2 linked regions of the Cricetulus griseus genome follow. The protein of the gene in region 2 purifies or fractionates together with the protein of the main gene of each other region. This does not show direct contact. Links are inferred from orthologs where the notes say so. Each region holds a gene or a part of one and is shown on either strand. Other genes may lie near its edges. The genes, in order: Endog and Dnaja1.

Evidence for each region.
Region 1: the proteins of Dnaja1 (region 2) and Endog purify together in Homo sapiens (affinity purification with mass spectrometry; 3 studies listed by BioGRID and IntAct, counting the BioPlex papers as one, with this or other methods). This does not show direct contact. The link is inferred for Cricetulus griseus from reciprocal best matches to the Homo sapiens genes DNAJA1 and ENDOG.

Annotation. Positions count from the first base shown.
Region 1 is NC_048599.1:141,826,035-141,836,416, reverse strand, and holds Endog (endonuclease G, mitochondrial), read right to left. Parts: upstream 5,579-10,382; 5' UTR 5,443-5,578; coding exon 4,951-5,442; intron 4,261-4,950; coding exon 4,151-4,260; intron 3,729-4,150; exon of another isoform or gene 3,519-3,728; coding exon 3,236-3,518; 3' UTR 3,173-3,235; downstream 1-3,172. Other genes in the region: putative methyltransferase C9orf114 homolog, read left to right, coding at 1,135-1,207, 1,309-1,407, 1,900-2,002, 2,123-2,270, 3,044-3,103. UniProt on the Homo sapiens protein: Endonuclease that preferentially catalyzes the cleavage of double-stranded 5-hydroxymethylcytosine (5hmC)-modified DNA.
Region 2 is NC_048595.1:101,872,648-101,883,106, reverse strand, and holds the start of Dnaja1 (dnaJ homolog subfamily A member 1), read left to right. Parts: upstream 1-4,193; 5' UTR 4,194-4,331; intron 4,332-4,700; exon of another isoform or gene 4,701-4,716; intron 4,717-5,405; 5' UTR 5,406-5,415; coding exon 5,416-5,547; intron 5,548-5,677; coding exon 5,678-5,855; intron 5,856-7,726; coding exon 7,727-7,831; intron 7,832-9,421; coding exon 9,422-9,649; intron 9,650-10,459.

The sequences.
Region 1 (10,382 bases), on a different chromosome or scaffold from region 2:
AGTCAAGGACATATGAACAGGGACCTGAACTCTAGGCCTGCTGTGAAACACCACAAAAGATGAACCTAGAGAAGATGAAGAGATGGCTCATTGGTTTAGAGCACCAGCTCTTGCATAGGACCCAGGTTCAGTTTCCAGCACTGACATGGTGGCTCACAAACCACCTGTAACTCCTGTTCTAGGGAATCTGATGCCCTCTTCTGACCTCAATGGGCCCCAGGCATGAACATGATACACAGACATGCATGCAGGCAAAAAGCCACACACATAAAATAAAAATAAGTGAGAGATGAAGCCAGGACCAAACTCGTGTTGCTAGTGGTGGTGTGTTTGCTTATTTATTTTTGTTACTGAGATCTAATCATGTCTGTCACTAGCATGTTCTCAGCTTTGCTGGTTTTGGTGTTAGTTGACATTTAAGTTTTTTTATTTTTAATGTATGTAGGTATGAATGTGTAGGTAAACATTCACATGCTAAGGAGTAAGTGTGAGGTCAGAGAACAACTTGACAAGTGTCAGTTTTCTCCTCCCACTGAGTGGGGATTGAACTCTGGTCATCAGGCTTGGAGACAAATGCCTTTTCCTGGTGAGCCATCTTGCGGATCCAAGAGTAGCTCTTGTTTATAATGTCTTTTATTCAACAGATGAGGAGACTGAGGCACATGGGTGCTAACTGACCTCCTCAAACTCCTACAGCCAGCAAGTGGCAAAGCCACCATAAGGAAGAAATCTGTGACTTCATCCTTTTTTTTAACATTTATTTATTATATATAGTATACAGTGTTCTGTCTGCATGTATGCCTGCAGGCCAGAAGAGGGCACCAGATCTCATTGCTGGAAATTGAACTCAGGACCTCCATAAGCGCAAACAGGGCTCTTAACCCCTGAACATGGCTCTAGCCCGAGACCTCATCTCTTTGTAGACACTGACTCTCCATGTCCTAAGCCCCAGGCTTCCATTTCTGACCAATTCCCTGTGATAATTGTTCTTCGTGATGGTCCCTCTTAGTAGGTCCCACCCAGTGCCAGAAACAGGGTGGCAGGTTGACCTGGCACCATAGTTCCTCCACTGGGTCTCTGAGAGCGCTGGCCCCTTTTGAAGTGTGGCACTCATTGCCTCTGGCTTCTCTGCAGGAGGTGAAGATTGACAAGAAACTGGAACCTGGACTTCGAGTGACCGTGCGACTGAACCAGAAGCAGCTCCCAGGTATCTGGAAGCTTCCTTGGCCCTTACAGTTGCTTGGCTCAGAGCCTCCTCCTACCTACCTCCCTGTCTCCTTGGTCTTCATAGCCTGTTTTGCTCCCCAGAATGCAAGACATACAAGGGGACAGTTGTGTCATCGCAGGACCCCCGCACCAAAGCTGGTCTCTACTGGGGCTACACTGTTCGACTGGCCTCCTGTCTCAGTAAGGACAGAAGTTGCTTCCCTGAATGTCCCTCTGTCCCTTCTGTTATACCCACAAGTCCGAGCAGGGTCTCTGTTCTACTAGAGGGTATGTGTTTAGGTGGCACCATCTCTGGTGCCCTAGTCTCCCCAGCGTCTATTCGGAATGCTAAGAACATCTGAGAGCAGGGTGTGGTTGGCTCCCAGCTGCCATCCCAGCACTAGGAGGCCAACACAGGAATCTCACTGTAAACCTGAGACCTCTCGAACACCAAATTAGGAAAGCCTTCTGAAGCGAGTGTAACTGCTGAACGTTGTCTAGGGCTTGGGCGCTCTTCCTGCCTAGCCTGTGTGCTCCCAGGCCAAGCTCAGGCTTCAGCTCCACCATTCCCTGCCCTCAACTTTCCAAGAACGTATATGGCCTCCTTTACCTGAGCTCTCTCTCCACCTGACCTTACAGTATGTTAGGCACACAGCCAAGAGCAGAACCCCACTGAGCTAGCTCCACCCCCAGGTGCTGTGTTTGCTGAGGCTCCCTTCCAGGATGGGTATGACCTGACCATTGGGACATCAGAGCGAGGCTCCAACGTGGCCTCTGCCCAGCTGCCCAGCTTCAGGTGGGTGTTGCTTAAGCCAGCGACTGGATCCTACTGTACATGGGGGTTGGGAGCCTAAAACTCTGAGGACTATATCCCATCGAGCTTTGACGTCAGTGACTCCCTTTCTCTGGGTACCAGGCATGCTCTTGTGGTGTTCGGGGGCCTCCAAGGGCTGGAAGCTGGAGTGGATGCTGATCCCAACCTTGAAGTGTCGGAACCCAGTGTCCTGTTCGACTTTTATGTCAACACATGCCCCAGCCAGGGCAGCCGTACCATCCGCACTGAGGTGAGCCACAGCCACAGGCACCCAGTTCTTCTTGTAACCCACCCTAAGTGCCTTTTCTGAAGATGTACTTATGTATTTCATATACATGGATGTTTTGTCTGCATGTACTTCGTATCAGAAGAGAGCATCAGATCCCATGAGACTACAGGTATAGACAGTTATGAAGCATTATGTGGTTGCTGGGAAATGAACACAGGACCTCTGGGAAAGCAGTCAGTGCTCTTAACCACTGAGCCATCTCTACAGCCTCAGCCTAAATGTCGTTTCTACAGATGGGGTCTTTACCATAGCAAACTAGTGGCAGGGACAAGATAAAAGAGCCATAAAGATGGCAAGTCCTGGGCCAGTAGTATTCTTATGTTCCCAGGTTGAGGGGCCCAGGTAACCTGCCTATCCCTATTCAGGGCCTCAGCTTCCCTGGTGGTACCCTAAGTCCCTCTGGGTGTCAACATTTCTGTGCTGGGGGAAAGGGTCTCACAAGACTGGAGCATCCATGGCACCTGTGTGACCGTCTTTGGGGCCAGTATGGAATGCTGTCTCTATGGGTTCTATAAGGGTGGTGACTGGAGGTTGACAGCCCCAGTCTGCCTGTCCCTGAGGCCCTGCCCATGTCATTGCCGCTAAACCAGCTGAAAAGAACTGCCCATCATCTTATCCTTCCTGGCTCTTGAGGTAGGCCCCACATGGGGCTGGGTCTTGGGAGCTGGCTGTGAAGACAAGGACCTGGGACCACTGCCTAACTACCAGATCCCAGCCAACTTCTTTTCTTCCAGGAAGCCATACTCATCTCCCTGGCTGCCCTACAACCTGGCCTCACCCAGGCAGGTTCCTGAACTACCTGACAACTTTGTGGATCCAGGGAGACAGAGACTTACCAGAAATAGAGATGGTCAAGACTTGTCTCCAAAAATAACCACCTTTAATATGAGCCAGCCCCTTCTCCCAGTGTCTTCAGTCCTTCACCCTCACTTGCTGCCAGCAGTGATGGCCTTGAGGTTTCCAGCTCGAGCCAGGATATTGGGCACAAAGAGCAACCCAGAGGCACGCTCAATGCTCTCGATCGGCACCAGGAAGCGCTCCAAAGGGATAGTCTCATCCACAGGGGCATTGGGCATCACATAGGAACGCAGCTCAATTTGCCCACTGGTGGCCTCCAGGATGAGCACCTTGAAGAAGTGTGTGGGCACTGCTACGTGGTTTTTTCCAATAACCTGGTACTTCACATAGGACTTCCCATCAGCCTCCGTCCTGAGGATAGACCAGGCACACATGGCCACCTCTTCCAGGAAGCCTTCCCTGACCTGACCAACAAGAAATTGAAGTGCCAAGCCTGGTTGCCTCCTTGGGTCTGGGAACTCTGTAAGGTGGGGACCAACGCTTAGCCCTCTGCTTTTCTGCCCAATACTGGTTCAGCCAGAATGGGTAGCAATAAATGCTGCTAGAGGAATGAGCTCTGTACACCATGTAGACATGTGACTGTCCCTATAGGCAGTGCAAGCAGCAATCAAGGAGGTGCGAGCCATGACAGTGGGAATCCCAGTCCCAGCCCAGGGCCTGGTGTTCAGCAGGATGAGCAGTAGCTTCCAGTTTGCTCAGCAACTGCCTTGCCCAGCCTGTGCTGATCACAAGGCTTTCTGATGTTCAGAGGAGCTTAGCTTGCCTGTCTGGCAGGACTGAAAAACTGATCTTGGGAAAGAATGCTTCAAGCACAGCAAAGGTGTGAGCTTGGTGCCCCAACATGGGTTATGGAGGGGTGACAAGATGTGTCAAAAGATTTGGGGCCTAGAAACTGGGCACAGGAGATTTCTGGGCCACCCAAAGATCTCTGGCTACATCGAAGCAGGAAGTCCAACATTGGAGAATAGGGGTGGGAGGCTTACCTGGGCAGGAAAAGAGGCCCTGTGCAGACATAGACATTTTGGTAAGTGCGAGTCAAGCTTCGGCTGTACTTCTCAAGGTTGTTCCAGGCATTCTGGTTGAGATGTGGCACCTGGTGGGAGAAGCAAGGTTCAGGACCTTCTGTTAGGAGTGCCCAGGTCCTAAGGAGATGACCAAGCATGTGGAGGGCAAAGGCTCAAAGAAGGGGTCACTCCTTGAGGCACTGTGACTACAGGGGTTGAGCTTTGGTAGGGCTGACCACTACTAGCCACACCCCTTTCGTTCCTAGGCACTTCAGATCTCTACGTTTTCCCCAGCTCAGAGAACCAAAGAAAGAGGGAGCATTAATCATATAGAACTCTCCCTCGGCCTGCCAGGCCTCAGAATGAACCTGAAAAAGGGTGTGGTGGGGGAGAGGGTCAGCCCCATGCCCCTATCCATCTCCAGTCACTGGATGGATGTCCCAGGAACCCAGTTCCTGGGAGCAGGTGCAGTGCTAACAATGTGTTCAGGGTGATGTGACTGGCACAAGCAAATCCAACTTCGTGGCAGCTGTTTTGTTGGCAGCTGCTGCAGGCCAGCTGGATATACGGAGTAGGAAACCTCCTGAGTTCCCTCAGAAAACCACACTGGGCAGCTTACTGGCTGGCATTACTGCTACTCCGTGTAAGTTCAAACCCGCCTGACTACAAATAGGACAATTCCTTCCTGCAACGGGGGTGCACGTGTAAAGTCAGACCAAGGTGCTGCTGTCAAGCAGGTGACAGCAGCCCCTTGGCTACCCCTTGGGGACCATGGCTACCTGTGGGGCCACGTTGCTCAGGTAGAAGGTGTCGTCCATGGCCCGCTGGCTCCAGCGGTGGTTGGCGGCGGCGGCCAAGTGGCCGCGGTCAAAGCCGCTGCCGCGATAGTCCGCGTTAGTGGCACGGTGGTACGCATGCACAGAGTCGTCCTCTCGGAAGTCGCAGGCGCTGCGGTCGCCGTCGCCACGGAGCCTCTCCGGTCGCAGCTGCTCCAACACCCAGAGCGCACCGCGCGTGCGCGGGTCGTAGCTCAGCACGTAGGACTCGCGGCTCCGGAGCTGCGCGACGCCGGGCAGCCCGTACTTGGCCAGCTCGCCGGTACCGCCCGCCGGCCCTCCTGGCAGCGCGGGCGGCTCGGCCGCCACCACGGGCAACATTGGCACCCGGGCCAGCAGCCCCGTCGCTGTCCCGTCCCGTCGCCGCCAGTGCTCTGCCGCTGCACCCAGCCCCGCGCCCAGCGCCAGGGTCAGGCCGACCCGCAGCGCGCGCATGGCCTACAGCAGGACGAGCGCGGCCTGAGTGCGGGAAGTTGTCTTTGGACCCAGGTGCAGGAGCCTCCGGTGACCCCACGCGGGCGTCCGCAGGGCCTTCCGCTGCCCTTTGGAGACGCGGGCTGGGGCGTGACACCGCCCTACTCGCTTGCCATTGGTCACTGCCAAGTCTGGCTCCGCCTCATCTTGTGCGCCTCTGGAAACCTTGCCTCTTGCAGGGCGTGCAGCGCCGCCCTAGCGGCCGCGTATTTAACCCCCACAAAGTCCTGGGAAATCTAGGTACCTGGACAGGACAGAACCCCAGATCTGTCAGACCTCTGTCCACCCATAATTGCGCCACGAAATGATAAATATTCCTCTAGATTGCCTGGCAAAAGGTTTAGGCTGTAACTGCTGACAGCCGCCTGGAGCTGAAGCTTGCTAGTAAGGTTATAGAAAACTACTTGAAAAGCCTACACTAAAATCATTTAAGATCATTAGGGTCATACGTTTCTTTCTTTTTGGTTTTGGCTTTGGTTTTTTGAGACAGGATTATCTCTAACAGTCAAACAGCCCTGGCGCTCCTGGAACTCGAGCTGTAGTCCAAGCTGGCCTCGAACTCACAGAGAGCCACTTGCCTCTGCCTCCCAAGTGCTGAGCTCCTTTTAACCCTCTTAAAGAGCTGAGCCTGGGAAGCATGTTTTATAAGACAGTGTTTCCTGTCCATAGAAGCTGGAATACACAAAGCATTCAACACTAGGAGCTGGATAAGATTATTTGCTGCACATCAGATGGAACAGTATTTAAACTATGAATATTTTAGGAGAGCAACTTGCCTACCACCTAGTAAGGTGGAGGAACAAATAAGCAAATAGGGCTGAGAATGTACCATCAGAGCCTCACTCATTAGTAAGAGACAAAACCAAATTATTCATTAAAAGTTAAATTGGGAAATAGAGGATCAGCAGGTTTTGGAGGACAAGAGAGTACTGGAAGGAAATAATAAAAATTAGTAGCACATACAAATGAAAGTGTTACAATGGAACTCACTTTTTTGTTTGCTTGTTTTTTCAAGATAGGGCTTTTCTGTGTAGCCCTGGCTGTTGAAGAACTTGATCTGTAAACCAGGGTGGCCTTGAACTCGGAGATCTACCTGCCATCTCTGTGAATTCCAGGACAGCCTGATCTACAGAGTGAGTTTCCAGGGAAACCCTGTATCCCTGTATCCCTGTATCGAGAGAGAGAGAGAGAGAGAGAGAGAGAGAGAGAGAGAGAGAGAGAGAGAAAGAGAGAGAGAGGAGAGAGAAGACAGAGAGAGAGAGAACAGAGAGACAGAGACAGAGAGACAGCGAGAGAGACAGAGAGAGATCCACCTGCCCCTGCCTCCTGAGTACTGGGATTAAAGGTCACCACTGCCAGAAGAACTTTTATTTAAAAAATTAAAAAAGACAATGTGGTGTTGTGGGCTGGAAAAATGGTTCAGCAATTAAGAACTCATACTGGGGGCGGGAGGGAGCTAGAGAGATGGCTCAGTAGTTCAGAGCACTTGTTGGTCTTGCAATGGACCCAGGTTCAGTTCTCAGCACCCACATGGCTACACACAACCATCTGTAACTCCAAAGAATCTCCACACACACCAGATATACATGGTCCACAGACATACATGCAGGCAAAACACCTATACAGACAACATAATTTTGTTCTTTAAAGAGCATATACTGCTCTTGCAGAGAACCCAAGTTCAATTACAGGCAACCATGACCTCCCATAACTTCAGTGATAGGGGATCTAATGCCTTCTGGACTGTGCAGGCACCTGAGTTCATACATGGGTGTTCCCACATACAGACATGCACATACATATAAAGTAAAAATAACAGTTAAGTCTATGGTGAGACATTCAGCTCAGTTGACCAAATGCTTGCCTAACATGCACAAAGCCTGGTTTGTGCAGCACTCCATAAACCAGATGTGATGGTGGAGGAAGACTGAAATTTCAAGGTCGTCCTCACCTACATAGAAAAGTTCAAGGCCAGACGGTGGTGGTGCACGCCTTTAATCTCAGTACTCAGGAGGCAGAGGCAGGCAGATCTCTGTGAGTTCTAGGCCAGCCTGGTCTCCAGAGCGAGTGCCAGGACAGGCTCCAAAGCTACACAGAGAAACCCTGTCTCGAAAAACCAAAAAAAAGAAAAAAGAAAAAAAAAAAAAGAAAAGTTGCACTAGACATCAGTATTTTTTCTATAGATTGTAGGCATAGGAAACATGTTTTTTTTTTTTTTTTCCTAATAGTAGTTTGGCATAGTGATTCCTATCTGTAATCTCAGTGCTAGGGAGGCTGCGGCATAATTACCATGGGCCTGAAGCCAGTCTGGGGTGACTGACTTACACATACACAAAAGCTGAGTAGTATTACATGTGTATCTATACCATTTATCCATCTATGGACGTTAGTTTTTTTGTTTTTTTGTTTGTTTGTTTTTGGCTCCTGTGAATGTTACCAATAAACACAAGAGCACTTTAGGGGCCATGTCCAACAAGTATCCCCCTGTCTTCTGATAGCTACAGTTCTGGGCTGGGATGAAGTTTGCAACCCATTTGAGAGTTGATATCTCTGCATGATTTAAAAGTCTCATTTCACTTTTCTGTGTGGAAAATCATTTCTCTTGGCACCTTTTACTGAGAACTGTCCTTTCTCCATCGAGTTCTTGGCTCCTTTGTCAATAGGCAATTGATTACAGGGGCTGGAGAGATAGCTCAGCAGTTAAGAGCACAGTCTGCTCTTGCAGAAGACCTAGGTTCAATTCCCAGTATCCACAAGGTGGCTCACAGCATCTGTAACTACAATCCCAAGGGCTCTGGTGCTTTCTTCTGGCCTCCATGGGCATTAGGCACACATATAGCAGGTAAGCACTCACACACATAAAATAAAATCTTTTTGCCAGCCAGTGTTGGTGCACACCTTTAATCCCAGCATTCAGGAGGCAGAGGCAGGTGGATCTTTGTGAGTTTGAGGCCAGCCTGGTCTACAAAGCAAATTTCAGGACTGCCGAGAAACAAGATTTTGAGAAACCGTGTCTCAAAAATCAAAAATGGCAACAAAAAAAATCTTAAAAAAAAATCAATTGACTGCAAGGCTTATGCCTGTTTTTAGGGTTTTGGGTCTATAAATTGATGTCATATTTTTTTCCCTTTTCTTTTTGGTTTTTCAAGACAGGATTTCTCCCTGTAGCAGCTCTGGCTAACCTGGAACTCTCTCCGTAGACGAGGCTGGTTTTGAACTCACAAAGATCTGCCTGCTTCTGCCTCCCAAGTACTGGGAATAAATGTGGGTTTCCTGTATTTCTGTCAGCATCAGGCTGCTTTGATTACCATAAACTAGTATTTTAAAGTAAGGTGGCCTCCTGCACTGTCCTTTTTGCTCACGATTATATCAGGTATTTGGTATCTTTTATGGTTCCTGGACACATTTTCAAACTGATGCTTTCATTTTTCTGTGAAAAATGTCATATCTGTGTGGGAGAGAGAGAGTGTGTGTGTGTGTGTGTATTAGGACCCATAGCCTCAGGCAAATACCACTGAGCTACATACACTTCCATGTCATAGCCATTTTGTTTCAGGTAGGGCCTCGTTATGTAGTTCTAGGAAGACTGGAACCCACTGCACAGACCAGGCTGTTCTCAAATTTGCCAGGATCCTCTTTGTGGAGTGCTGAGGTCACATGCACGTGCCACCACACTTGGCCACACTGGAGTTTTGATAGGGACTACATTTACTGAGCTGGGCTTGAGTTAGTGCACCAGGCTCCTGCACCCCCAGCTCACTTAACATTAAATTGCAGCGAGCTGGAACCCTTCCTCCCACCATCCCATAATCACTGAGGGGTGGCCTAAGCCACCTTCTTTTGTGAGCCACCATGTGGTTGCTGGGAATTGAACTCAGGACCTCTGGAAGAGCAGTCAGTGCTCTTAACCGCTGAGCCATCTCTCCAGCCCCTAAGCCACCTTCTTACCACACTCCCTGTCCTGGGCTTATTTAGCCGTGAGTTGCTTAAGTTGGAGAAGGAATATTATTTCCTCACCAGCTGGAAAAGGTTCATTCATTCAGCACCTAGAACCTATTTACTTGCAGTGTTCTGGGTACTGGGAATGGAGATGAGTTCTCCCAGCCCAGAAATGCAGAGTAAGTACCCTCTTGTTTCTTTGCACCTCCTTCATCTTCTTCCAAGGCTTCACAATGTTTGGTATTCTTGGGGCCGTGTCTGGCTCAGTGGTCCAGTGCTTGCTTGATGTGTGTGAGGGCCTGAGCCCTATGACCAGTACAAAAGTCCTCAGTACTTTCATCTCTTTCAGGTGTTGCAAGTAGCATTTTATTATTTTCAGTTAGTATATAGAAACACTCCTGATTTTTAGCCAGCTGTGCTGATACACACCTTTAATCCCAACACACTCAGGAGGCAGAGGCCCCAGCCTCAGAGGCTAAAAGTGGAGGAACAGAGTCTGAGGCTAGCCTGGACAACAGAGCAAAATCCTTGTCTCTAAAGAACAATTCACTGCCAGGGCAGGTGAGGTGGCTCAGTGGGTAAAGGCACAGCCACCACGCCTGATGGCCTGAGTTTGATTTCTGTGACCCATGGGATAGGAGGGAACAGACTGTAGCAAGACTTCTCAACCCACAGGACACACACAAATAAGTACACCTTAGACAGGGATAGCAACGTGATGTGTGCAGGCAAGCCCCTCTGTCCTATGCCCATCTGTCTCTTGCTGAACTGGAAGAGTCAGGCTCTTCTGGCATTTTCTGGTCTTTCTTAGACCAGACTGACTTTGTCCTTGCTCCAAAGTCTCAAGTCCAGCCATCAAAGTACCAACACTCAAAAAAAAGAGCATACGGTTTATTAAAGACAACTCATTAACAGCATTGACTCAGAGAACGGATGAGAACACAAAAGCCACTGCTGTTCCG
Region 2 (10,459 bases):
TGGAGGTGGTTGTGGGCAGAAACCAAGTAGTAATGATTCATGCTCTATGCTAAGAAATGTGAATTTTATTTCAGAAGTTCTGGATGGTTTTAGGATTCTAACAGTTTATCTTTTTATGTGATGGTGCTAGTGTTAGGGTTCAAATTTGGGATTTCAGGTCTGCTAGGTGAGCACTCTACTCCTGAACCACACCCTGAACTGATAACTTATCCCATGTATAAACTGTTACATAAAAAAAAGGGGTAGTGTTGAAGGTACAGCTCAGTGGCAGCAGAACAGAATGTGCCAAGCAAGCACAGTGCAGAATATCTAGCAGAATAAGGACAAGAAAGGGGATGGAGCAGGGAGGGTAGGAGGATGAGAAGGAAGGACGATAAAGGTCGTGGAAGCAATGCCAGAGGAGGGAGGATTCTCTATGGCTCAGGACTAAAGGAGGTCATAGGTACACAGAAGTAACCTGGCTTGCTTTTTCTTTCCTTTAAAGACATAGTGTATGCTGGGTGTTGGTGGCACATGCCTTTAGTCCCAGCACTCAGGAGGCAGAGCCAGGTGGATCTCTGTGAGTTCAAGGCCAGCCTGGTCTACAGAGTGAGCTCCAGAACAGCCAGGGCTATACAGAGAAACCCTGCCCCCCCCCAAAAAAAAAACCAACTGTATTTTTGATGCCATGTTGCCCAGGCTGTCTTCAAATTCCTGGGCTTCAGTAATAACCCTGCCATAACTTTCAGAGTAGTTAGGACTATAGGTACACACTCTTGCCACCACACCTGGCAGCATTTAAAAAAAATCAAAGACAACACCTGAAGATGTGAGGGAGTGAAAGGATGGAAAGTGAGCACACACTTTTTCTAAATTGTAAAGTAGTTTTCTATGAGTCCTTAACCTTGTTCTTGAAGTCCTCTGTGTGAAATTGTTAAGGAGACATTTTTACTTACTAAGATTCTTAAGGAGGAAGACCAAGAAGGCCACAAGACAGACCACCTTCCTAAACTAATGCCTATGCCAAAGAGTCGGAACTGGGCATGTCCAAGGCCTTACTACATTTCTACCCAAATCACACCCTACAACTTACCCAGTGCTCATCTGAGATGATGGGAACATACATAATATACTTATCTGCCCTCAGGATCGCTGAACCCCAGTTTGGGGTGGCTGAGGAACCTGTGAACACTGCCTGGAGAAGGCTCTCTCTCCTGTTCCTGAGCCCTCCCCAGAAAAAAAGACAAGAAGCTAGACATGATTCCAAACTAGGTGGAAGGAGGAAGATTGGGAGTTCAAAGTCATCACACCAAATTCAAGATTGAGGTGAACCTGGAATACACAAGGCCCTGTCCCCCGGGAGAGAGAGGGAGAGAGAGAGAGAGAGAGACAGACAGACAGACAGACAGACAGACAGACAGAGACAGAGGGAGGGTGGGTGGGTGGGTGGAGAGAGAAACAAGAAGACAGGGTAGGGGTGCCAAATTCAAAGTCCACGCTGCTTGAAAACACTACAGACAAATGTCTCAGCAAATACTCTCTCACCCCATCTGCACACAGGCAGTTACACTACCTACCAAGCCAGACTTGAAGGCTGAGGGTATTCTGTAAGGCAGAATGGATTAAGAATACAGCTGTACCAGGTGGTGGTGGCGCACAACTTTAATCCCAGTACTCAGGAGGCAGAGGCAGGTACATCTCTGTGAGTTCAAGGCCAGCCTGGTCTACAGAGCAAGTTCCAGGGCAGCTTCCAAAAGCTACAGAGAAACCCTGTCTTGAAAAAAAAGTACAGGAGACTGAACACAAGGGTCAGGTGTGGTGGCTCACACCTGTAATTCTAGCATTTGGTAGGCTGAAGCAGGAGTTCCTTAAATTCAAGGCCAGCAGGACCCCCAGAGTAAGGCAGAAGTGCAGGATTTATTTTTTATTTTGTTATTTTATGTGTATGTGTGCTTTGTATGTCTGTGCAAAAGAAGAAACTTCAAATTAAAGCAATAACATTAATTTCTCACATATACCCCCAGATACAGTCTCAAATATCCCAAGTAGCCTCAAACTTTCTATATAGCCTTAGTTGGTCTTGAACTCCTGATCTTCCTCCTTGAGCCTCCAAAATTCTGGGCTTATAGGTAGAAACCAAGCCATTTGATTGTAAATTTTCACTTGTAAAGCTGGCAAAGATTTAATAGCAAGAGAGCAAAACAGAATCCCCTATATTTGCAAGACCCACTGGCACAATGGTGGAAGCAGTACAAACCAACATAAAGTTATTTTAATTTTCAATTTGCTCTTACATTGACTCAGCAATTTCAGCTCTGGGTGTCTGTCCTAAAGAAATATTTGCAAGCCAAGTGTGGTGGCATGCACAGGCCTATAATTCCAGCTCTTTTTCAGGCTGGCAGGAGGAGTACTGCTCTAAAGTATAACCTATTACTTGATATGATACCTGAGAGTGTAACACATGAGAAAAATAATGTTTTTCAGCCAAAACAAAACACATAGTAAAAGTCTGCAAGGGAAGTAGTGTAGCTTTAGTGCCTGAAATAGTTTAATGAAAGCATTAAGGCTGAAGAGGCAAACCGCACAAGGCTGGCACTCCAAAACCTTAGCTTATTAAGACATACCAAGAGGTAAAGAAGTCTCCAGATAGGTTTGAAAACAGCCTTTACAGCTCCCTTAGCTCTGGCTACATCCAATTACCTATGATTTCCTTAAGACACTGAGATGACAGCTCTGCTGGTAAAGCACGGAAGACCTGAGTTACCTATGGAAAAGTAGGAGAAAGCTGCAATGCTCCACGTGCACACACACAATAAGGCGAACATTTAAAGCATCACATTCCACACACCTAGGCTTCCAGTGCTTTCTTTGTCCGTTAGGAAATGTGCTCAACTGCGTTTTGTACAAGTGCTGAGCTACATTTTGTGACTTCTCTTGTAATTTGCTTTGTTCAACATCCAACAAAATTCTAAGCAGGAGGCTCAGTGGTGTGGTTAAGAGCATGTATTAGTCTTCACAACTGCCTGGAGGCTGAGAAGTTCAGAGTTTGAGGCCAGCTTTGGCTACAGAGAGTACTAGGCTACCCTGGTCTATAATGTGGCAAGACCCTTTCTGAAAAAACAAAGCCAAGGAGGGTAGAGAGAGATGGCTTATCAGTTAAAAGCACCAGGTGGCTCACAACAGCCTGTAATTCCAATTACCTGGGATCCCACTCCCTATCCTGACCTCCAGGGGCACTAGGCATGCATGTGGTGCACATACACACATATAAACCAAACACTCATACACATACAGTAAATATAAAAATAAAAAATCCAAACAAAATATACGAGTCTCTGTATAAAAGTAACCTGAACAGACTCCATGCCTCTGACTTCCTTGGGCACCTACACAGACACACAAGATTGAAAGTAAATCTTTATAAAATATGTCAACTCTACTTTCCCAAGCTTGCACCTCCAGCTGCTTTGTTTGATACGTCTACTGGGTTACTGAATAAGAAAAAAACACTCCATTTTTTCATTCTGTCCTTTGAAGGCCTAAGGTTCACTTTGCCAACTGCAGATTTTGATTCGCTGACTAGACCTAAAGATGGTCAGAAAATTAAAACAATTAGCTAAAGAAATTTTCTTTTTTGTTGCTACTCTGCAGTCAAACGTAGTGGGAGATTGACTAGAAAAGAATCCACTGCCCTCAATTTACATAAAGCATTCCCTGTTTGCTGCAGCCCCAGGTTCCCTCGGCCTGAGGCATTGGAGACTTAAGGATTTGAAGCCTGGGCTCGCCCAGAAAGCTCTCACACGGAAGTGCACTTGGGTGAAACCACCAGATTCAAAGCCTGCAAGGTTGGTCTGGCGACTAGGCCGGTCTGGCTCAGCATTTCTTGCCTGCAGGGCTCAGAAATAAGGGGCTGCAAAAAATTAGGCTCCGGGTGGGGTTAGGGTTGGGGTTGGGTTCCGGCAGGTCCCCTTCGGCGAAGCGCCTGCGGCATACATAACCTCTGCACTTCAAGACTTCCGCACTCTGGGCCCTCACAGTAAAGAAAGGCCTCTAGAAGATTCCACGAGTCTCGGAACCCGGGCCTGAGTCCACCCCCACAAGGCCCTTGGGCACGGCCACTCCCAACCCCAGCGCCCCCGCGCCGTTGCCCAGGTAACCGAGGGGCGGCGGCAGCGGCGTGGGGCGGGACTTCCGGCGAGTGACGCGCCCGGGCTCGGCTACAAAAGAGGTCGGCTGCGGCGGGCCGGGCGGAACTTTCCAGAACGCTCCGTGGGAGGTGGAGGAGCAGCGTCTGCCCCAACTGCGTTGTGCTACGCTCCTCTTTCCGCTCTCCGGCACCGGCCCGCTCACCGGTGAGTCTCGGCCCTCGGGCCTTCCTCGGCCGCGACGTGCGGCCTGGGCGCCAGATAGCCGAGGGGAGCCGCAGCCGGAGGCGGTTGGCCCCGCGTGGGCAGGGGCTGCGGGCTCCCTGAGCCGGAATCCGGCTTCGGAAGGCCGCCGGGATGCCCGGCGCCCTCCCCGACCGTCTGTACGCCGCGAGGAGGCCCAAGGCCCGAGCCAACTCGGCGCCCGCCTCAGACTCCTGTCGGTGCGCACCCCTTTCTCCCCGCCGCCCGCGCCGGGTGGGCAGCGCTGCGCACGCGCGGACCGAGGCAGGGGTGAGGGGCTGCGGGAGGAGCCGGGCGGAGGCTGCGGCTTGTGCTTCTTCTCCTGGCTCTCCTCCCTCTCTTTGTTGAGGTCCGGCCTTCCCCCTCCGCCTTTTCGATCCGGGTGGGAGGGAGAAAGGAAGGAAACCTTAACTGTAGGCGCCAGGTGCTGGGGGGAAATCCAGAGGGCGAGTCAGCTTGGCGGGCCTGAGGGACGAGAGTGGGTAAGCGGCGAGCAGGATCAGGATGGCGACGGGGCCGGGGGCACCTGCTCCCCGGAGCTGGTCTCATAAGCCACTCCTCCACCCCCGGGAGTCCACTGTCCTTTTCCGGCGAGTGAGGGCCTTTATCAGATGTACAAAGGCAGTGCTAATGTACTAACCAATGGACAGAACCTACCAGTGCTGCTTTGGGTTACTAGCACAACCTGTGGGGAAAGGAAACCGGAAGGAGCCCCATCACACATGTGTTAGTGCGGCAGAGTAGGAACCAGCTGCTAGAAAGGCTTTCGAGTTCCCCGCAATTTACGTTTATATTTAGTCTGTTAGAATTTTCAGCCAGATCATATCAGGAATTGATAGCTTTAAAGTTAGCGAAGGCAGTGTTCTTTATACGGCAAAGAACAGATTGCTCTAGTTCTGGTAGTTTGCTAAAAACTACCAATTAAAAGCCGGTCATGGTGGCTCACACCTTGAACCCGGCTCTCAGGAGGCAGAGGCAGGTGGCGCTTCTGCACAGCACTAAAAGCTGGTTTAAAGCTCCCCGTTTTTCTGATTTCAGGCTGTGAAAGATGGTGAAAGAAACCACTTACTATGATGTTTTGGGGGTCAAACCCAATGCCACCCAGGAAGAACTGAAGAAGGCATATAGAAAATTAGCCTTGAAGTACCACCCTGATAAGAATCCAAATGAAGGAGAAAAGGCAAGTACATTCTCGAACAGTTCAGCAGTGTTGCCATGTGTGTACTGCTGGTGCCCGAAAGTCAAGGTTGTAATACAGTGGCTGTGCCGTGTGACAGTTATTTCTAATGGGATTTCTTTTTCTGAAACAGTTTAAACAGATTTCTCAAGCTTATGAAGTTCTTGCTGATTCCAAAAAAAGGGAATTATATGATAAAGGAGGAGAACAGGCCATTAAAGAGGGCGGAGCAGGTGGTGGTTTTGGCTCACCCATGGATATCTTTGACATGTTCTTTGGAGGAGGAGGGAGGATGCAAAGAGAACGGAGAGGTAAGAAAAAGTACAGCTTACCTGCAGCAGAATGAAATGGCTGCTACTGAAAAACTGAATTTACTACCTTCAGTGCTTGTTTACATATTGGTATGATGCCTCTGATTTCTGGTGTCATTTAAAATTGAGATTTTTAAAAAAGAAATTTAGATAGTTGAGATTTTTATGTAATCAAAATAGCTAAGCCAATCTAGTGGGTATCTCCCATCCACAGATACCCAAACAGTAAGATAACAGCATGGCAACCTGGGCTTCTAAGCCCTTACACATCATGCCCCTAGAACAAACACAAATGGTTAAGTGTAATGGCCTTTATCAGTTAAAGAAGAGTTGAGAAAACTGAAACATAGCAAGCCAAGACTGAAAACAGCTCATTGCCTCCAGATAACCTGCTGCCTGTTTAATCTTACTTTAGCTTGCTAACTCAGTTTATATGCATTTAATGTTTTAACAAAAAAGTTGTCTCTGAGCTAGACAGACTTCTTGGGAAGATAGCATTGGAGGTCAATAGTACTTCATTTTTGTTTACTGTGTTTTTACAAGAATTTACTGGAAATGAATGTTGTGGCCCTGAAAAGTGGCTCAGTGGTTAAGAATACTGTACTCTTTGCAGAAGATCCAGATTTCAGTGCATGGCTCACTACTGCCTGTAACTCCCGCTCAAGAGGATCTGATAACCTCTTCTGACCTCTGGGCTTTCATACAAACATGTATGCACAAAAATTAAAATTAAAAAAAATCTGTTGTGAACCATAAGGATAGTATGAGCTACTAACTTTTGGCTTATTTTAATATGAGGGTTTTTGTTGCTGCTGCTTTGGAAAGTATACTTGGTCAGTTTCCAGAAGCTTTGTTTTTCCTTTTCTGTACTCTGTATACAAAGTTAAGAAATGGGCAACTTTCAACTTGGAAGAACCTGCTTACATGTTCTTTTTGTGATAGTAGAAATCTAAAGTAAAGCTAGAAACAAAAGGATATGATACTTAACATCTCACTTAAAAGAGTAAATGTTCCTTTAGGTATGATGGTCAGAAAGGATTGAAACTGTTGTTAGCCACCAGGCAGTGCCATTTGGTGATGGATAAAGTCCTAGTGGAAGGATCACTGGCTAGGAACTTATTAACCATAGAGGGTAATTTTATTTCCATAGCCTGATTATCCTTGTGTGATCTCAACCTCCTCCTCCTATTGCCATAGGTAAATTAATTACATGTGGCATTCCTTTGTAGTCACTAGCCAGATGTGAGTCTTTAAATTAAGATTAACTTAAGGGAGGGAGGGTGGATATTCTCTCCAGCTGTGGTAGTCACCACACTTAAATTGTGACTAGTAGTTGCTATATTGAACACATGATACGCCCATCATTAAAGTTTTCTGTTCTATTACAAAAAGCATAAGAAATTTGTCATTTGAAACAACCAGTTCTAGCCTGGCAGTAAACTATTGAAACAGAAGTAGGAATTGTTTCAGTAGTGTCTCAATATTGGCTTCTCTAGCCAATCTTGATTAGAAAGAATGTACTGTTTGGATGAAGTAACTGGCCATGTTGCTTAATGCTTAGTAAGTGAAACCTCTAAAGGGATACATGCTTTGAATTGTTGTGAAATGTGCCTGAACATTGAGTGACTTTTAGTCGCTGCATTTCTAAGAGGGGGCCTCTTTTGTGTCGTTAGGCAAATGAACCCCTGATGTAATTCACTTTAACTGTGATTAAATCAGTTTGAGAATCAAGTTATTGGATGAATGTTGTATATGGGTATAGCTCAACAGGTGTATAGTATAAGACTGGTCTTTGATTATCCTTTTCCATTTCTATGGTGCCTTCAGCAAACATTACACATGGGTTTTTAATGAGCAGTGTTTTGTTCCAGGTAAAAATGTTGTGCATCAGCTCTCAGTGACCTTAGAAGACTTGTATAATGGCGCAACAAGAAAATTAGCTCTGCAAAAGAATGTGATTTGTGACAAATGTGAAGGTAAGGGTTCTTACTTACTGTTGGGTTGTTATAGTTTTTGAGATAAGGTCTTTATAGATTAGGCTGGCCTTGGATTTGTGTCCTGCCTCAACCTGGGGATTACTACAAGCCCTTATGCCTAATTTTCTGGATAGACAAAACTGATGCTACACTAAAAGGAGCTGAGTGAACCTTCCAAGAAAACTCGTAATGGCTTTGTTGTGACGTTTTCATGCATGTATATAATGTATTTTCATCATTGCTCTCCTGCTCAACTTCCACTAAAACCCTTCTGTTCCTTGATACTCCTGTGTGCCTATGTTTTGAGTCCCATTAGAGTTGTTTACAGGAATATGGGTGAGGGATTGCTTACAAAAGGATGGGCACCTTATTCAGTAGCTATATTACAGAAGAAAATGTGTATGCAGGGGTGAGGCCTTGACAATAGCTTCTCCCTTTATTACAAGGTGCTGATGGGCCTAATCTGTATAGGCCCTAAGTAGCAATTTTTTTTTAATACTTTGTATTTGCATATGCATGTTTCGGTGTCTGGGAGGTCAGAAGACAACTTGTAGTAACCAGTTTTCTTCAACCAGGCATTAAAAGATCAAACTCTGGGGTTGGTCAAGCTTAGTGAGACCAGCAAAACCTTCTCTCAAGGTGGAAATGTGCTATCGGAACATTAAGATGGTGGTGCAGGCAGTCTTGGAGTTTACTGCCTGGCTCACTACTCACTCAGAAAGTAAAATACCGCAGGTGCTTGCAGAGGTCTTCACTGTTAGGCCTGCCTACTTTGAACTCTAACTGCAAAGGCAGGACACCCCACTCCCCACCTCTCTACCACCCCACGGGAGTTTTGCCTGTCTGAGTGTTTATCTCTTGTACTGCTTTATGCAGTACCTATGGAAGCCAAAAGAAGGCATCATATCCCCTGGAACTAGAGTTAAAGAGGGTTGTGAGCCACTACGTGGGTGCTTGGGATCAAATCCAGGTCATCTGGAAGAACAGCCAGTGCTCTTAAGTGAGTCATCTCACTAGGCCCTGCCTTCCCTTCTTCCCACCCCTTTGTTTCTACCAAAATCCTAAGAATACATACTATTGACACTTAGCTGTGTGGTGGTGGCTTCGCATGCCTTTACACTCGGGAGGCAGAGGCAGGAGGATCTCTAAGTTTGAGACCGGCCTGGTCTACAAGAGCTAGTTCCAGGACAGCTTCCAAAGAAAGCCACAGAGAAACCCTGTCTCGAAAAAACAACAACAAAAAACAGACTATTGACACTCTTAGGCATTCTCATGTCTAAAAAATGTCATTTCTTCACACATACACCCCTTACTAACACACAGTTGCTTGCTGACCTCCATTGTTGAACCATTTCTAAACTAACTCAAAAGGGAAGATTTTCCACCATCCTCTTTGAAACTGCTGAGATTTATAGCATGCGTGCCTACCTTGTTTGTTTCTGTTTAAAAACTCATGATTTTGAAATGGCTCCTGAATCTATTTAGGACAGCAGTACATAAGCCCTTGAAAATCCTAAGGAGTTTAGATTCTATTACAAAGTTAATACACAAAGTTTTGTTTTTTTGTTTTTGTTTTTTTAAACTCTTTAGGCCGAGGTGGTAAGAAAGGAGCAGTTGAGTGCTGTCCCAACTGTCGGGGGACCGGCATGCAAATCAGGATTCATCAGATCGGACCAGGAATGGTTCAGCAAATTCAGTCAGTGTGCATGGAATGCCAGGGTCATGGAGAACGCATCAGTCCTAAAGACAGATGTAAAAGTTGCAATGGAAGAAAGATAGTTCGAGAGAAGAAGATTTTAGAAGTTCATATTGATAAAGGTGAGTTCTGATCCACTCTATAGTCTGAATCGTGTTTTTTATTCATAGTGTATAACGTAGTTTGGTAATTTTCACTCCATCCCTCATTGTTTTCTGTAGCACTTGCCATTCTCATCATTTTGTGGTAGGGTTGTTTGTGATACATTTAGTTTAATTAGTAGTGCTTGTGTGAGCATGGGGGGGGGTTATTTACTGGAACATGGGCATTTATCGGTGGCTACACTAACAAAGAAAGGGACTCCCCTCCAGTAAACATCAACTGCCAACAGTTCTTCTAGACGTTGTGTGGCCTTGGCCCTTCCCACATTTATATTACATACTCTTAGTGTGTAAGATTTGTCTTTCTGGCTCAGTGGCAATAGTTACAGAACATTTTATCCAGTCTTCTGATATGTAATTATCCTGTCTTTAAAAATTTATACTGTGCACATTCTTAGGAATTAAGGAATAACATAAATGGGTGTATGTGAGGTGAGGAATAGGCTCATTAAAATATAGATTTCTGGCTTTTTACATGTGCAGGGGTTACATTCCCATGTAACCACACCTAGTATAACACATCTTTAAAGAATGTGTGTGCCCACCAGGCATTGGTGGGGAACGTCTTTAATCCCAGCACTTGGGAGGCAGGGGCAGGTAGATCTGGGTGAGTTCAAGGCCAGCCTGATGTATAGAGCGGGTGCCAGGATAGGCTCCAAGGCTACACAGAAAAACCCTGTCTCGAAAAACAAAAGGAATATGTGTGCATATCAGTCCTTTTTTTCTGGTTCAGCTTAATAAAAATTTCTTTTTCTTCTATTGAGATGGGGA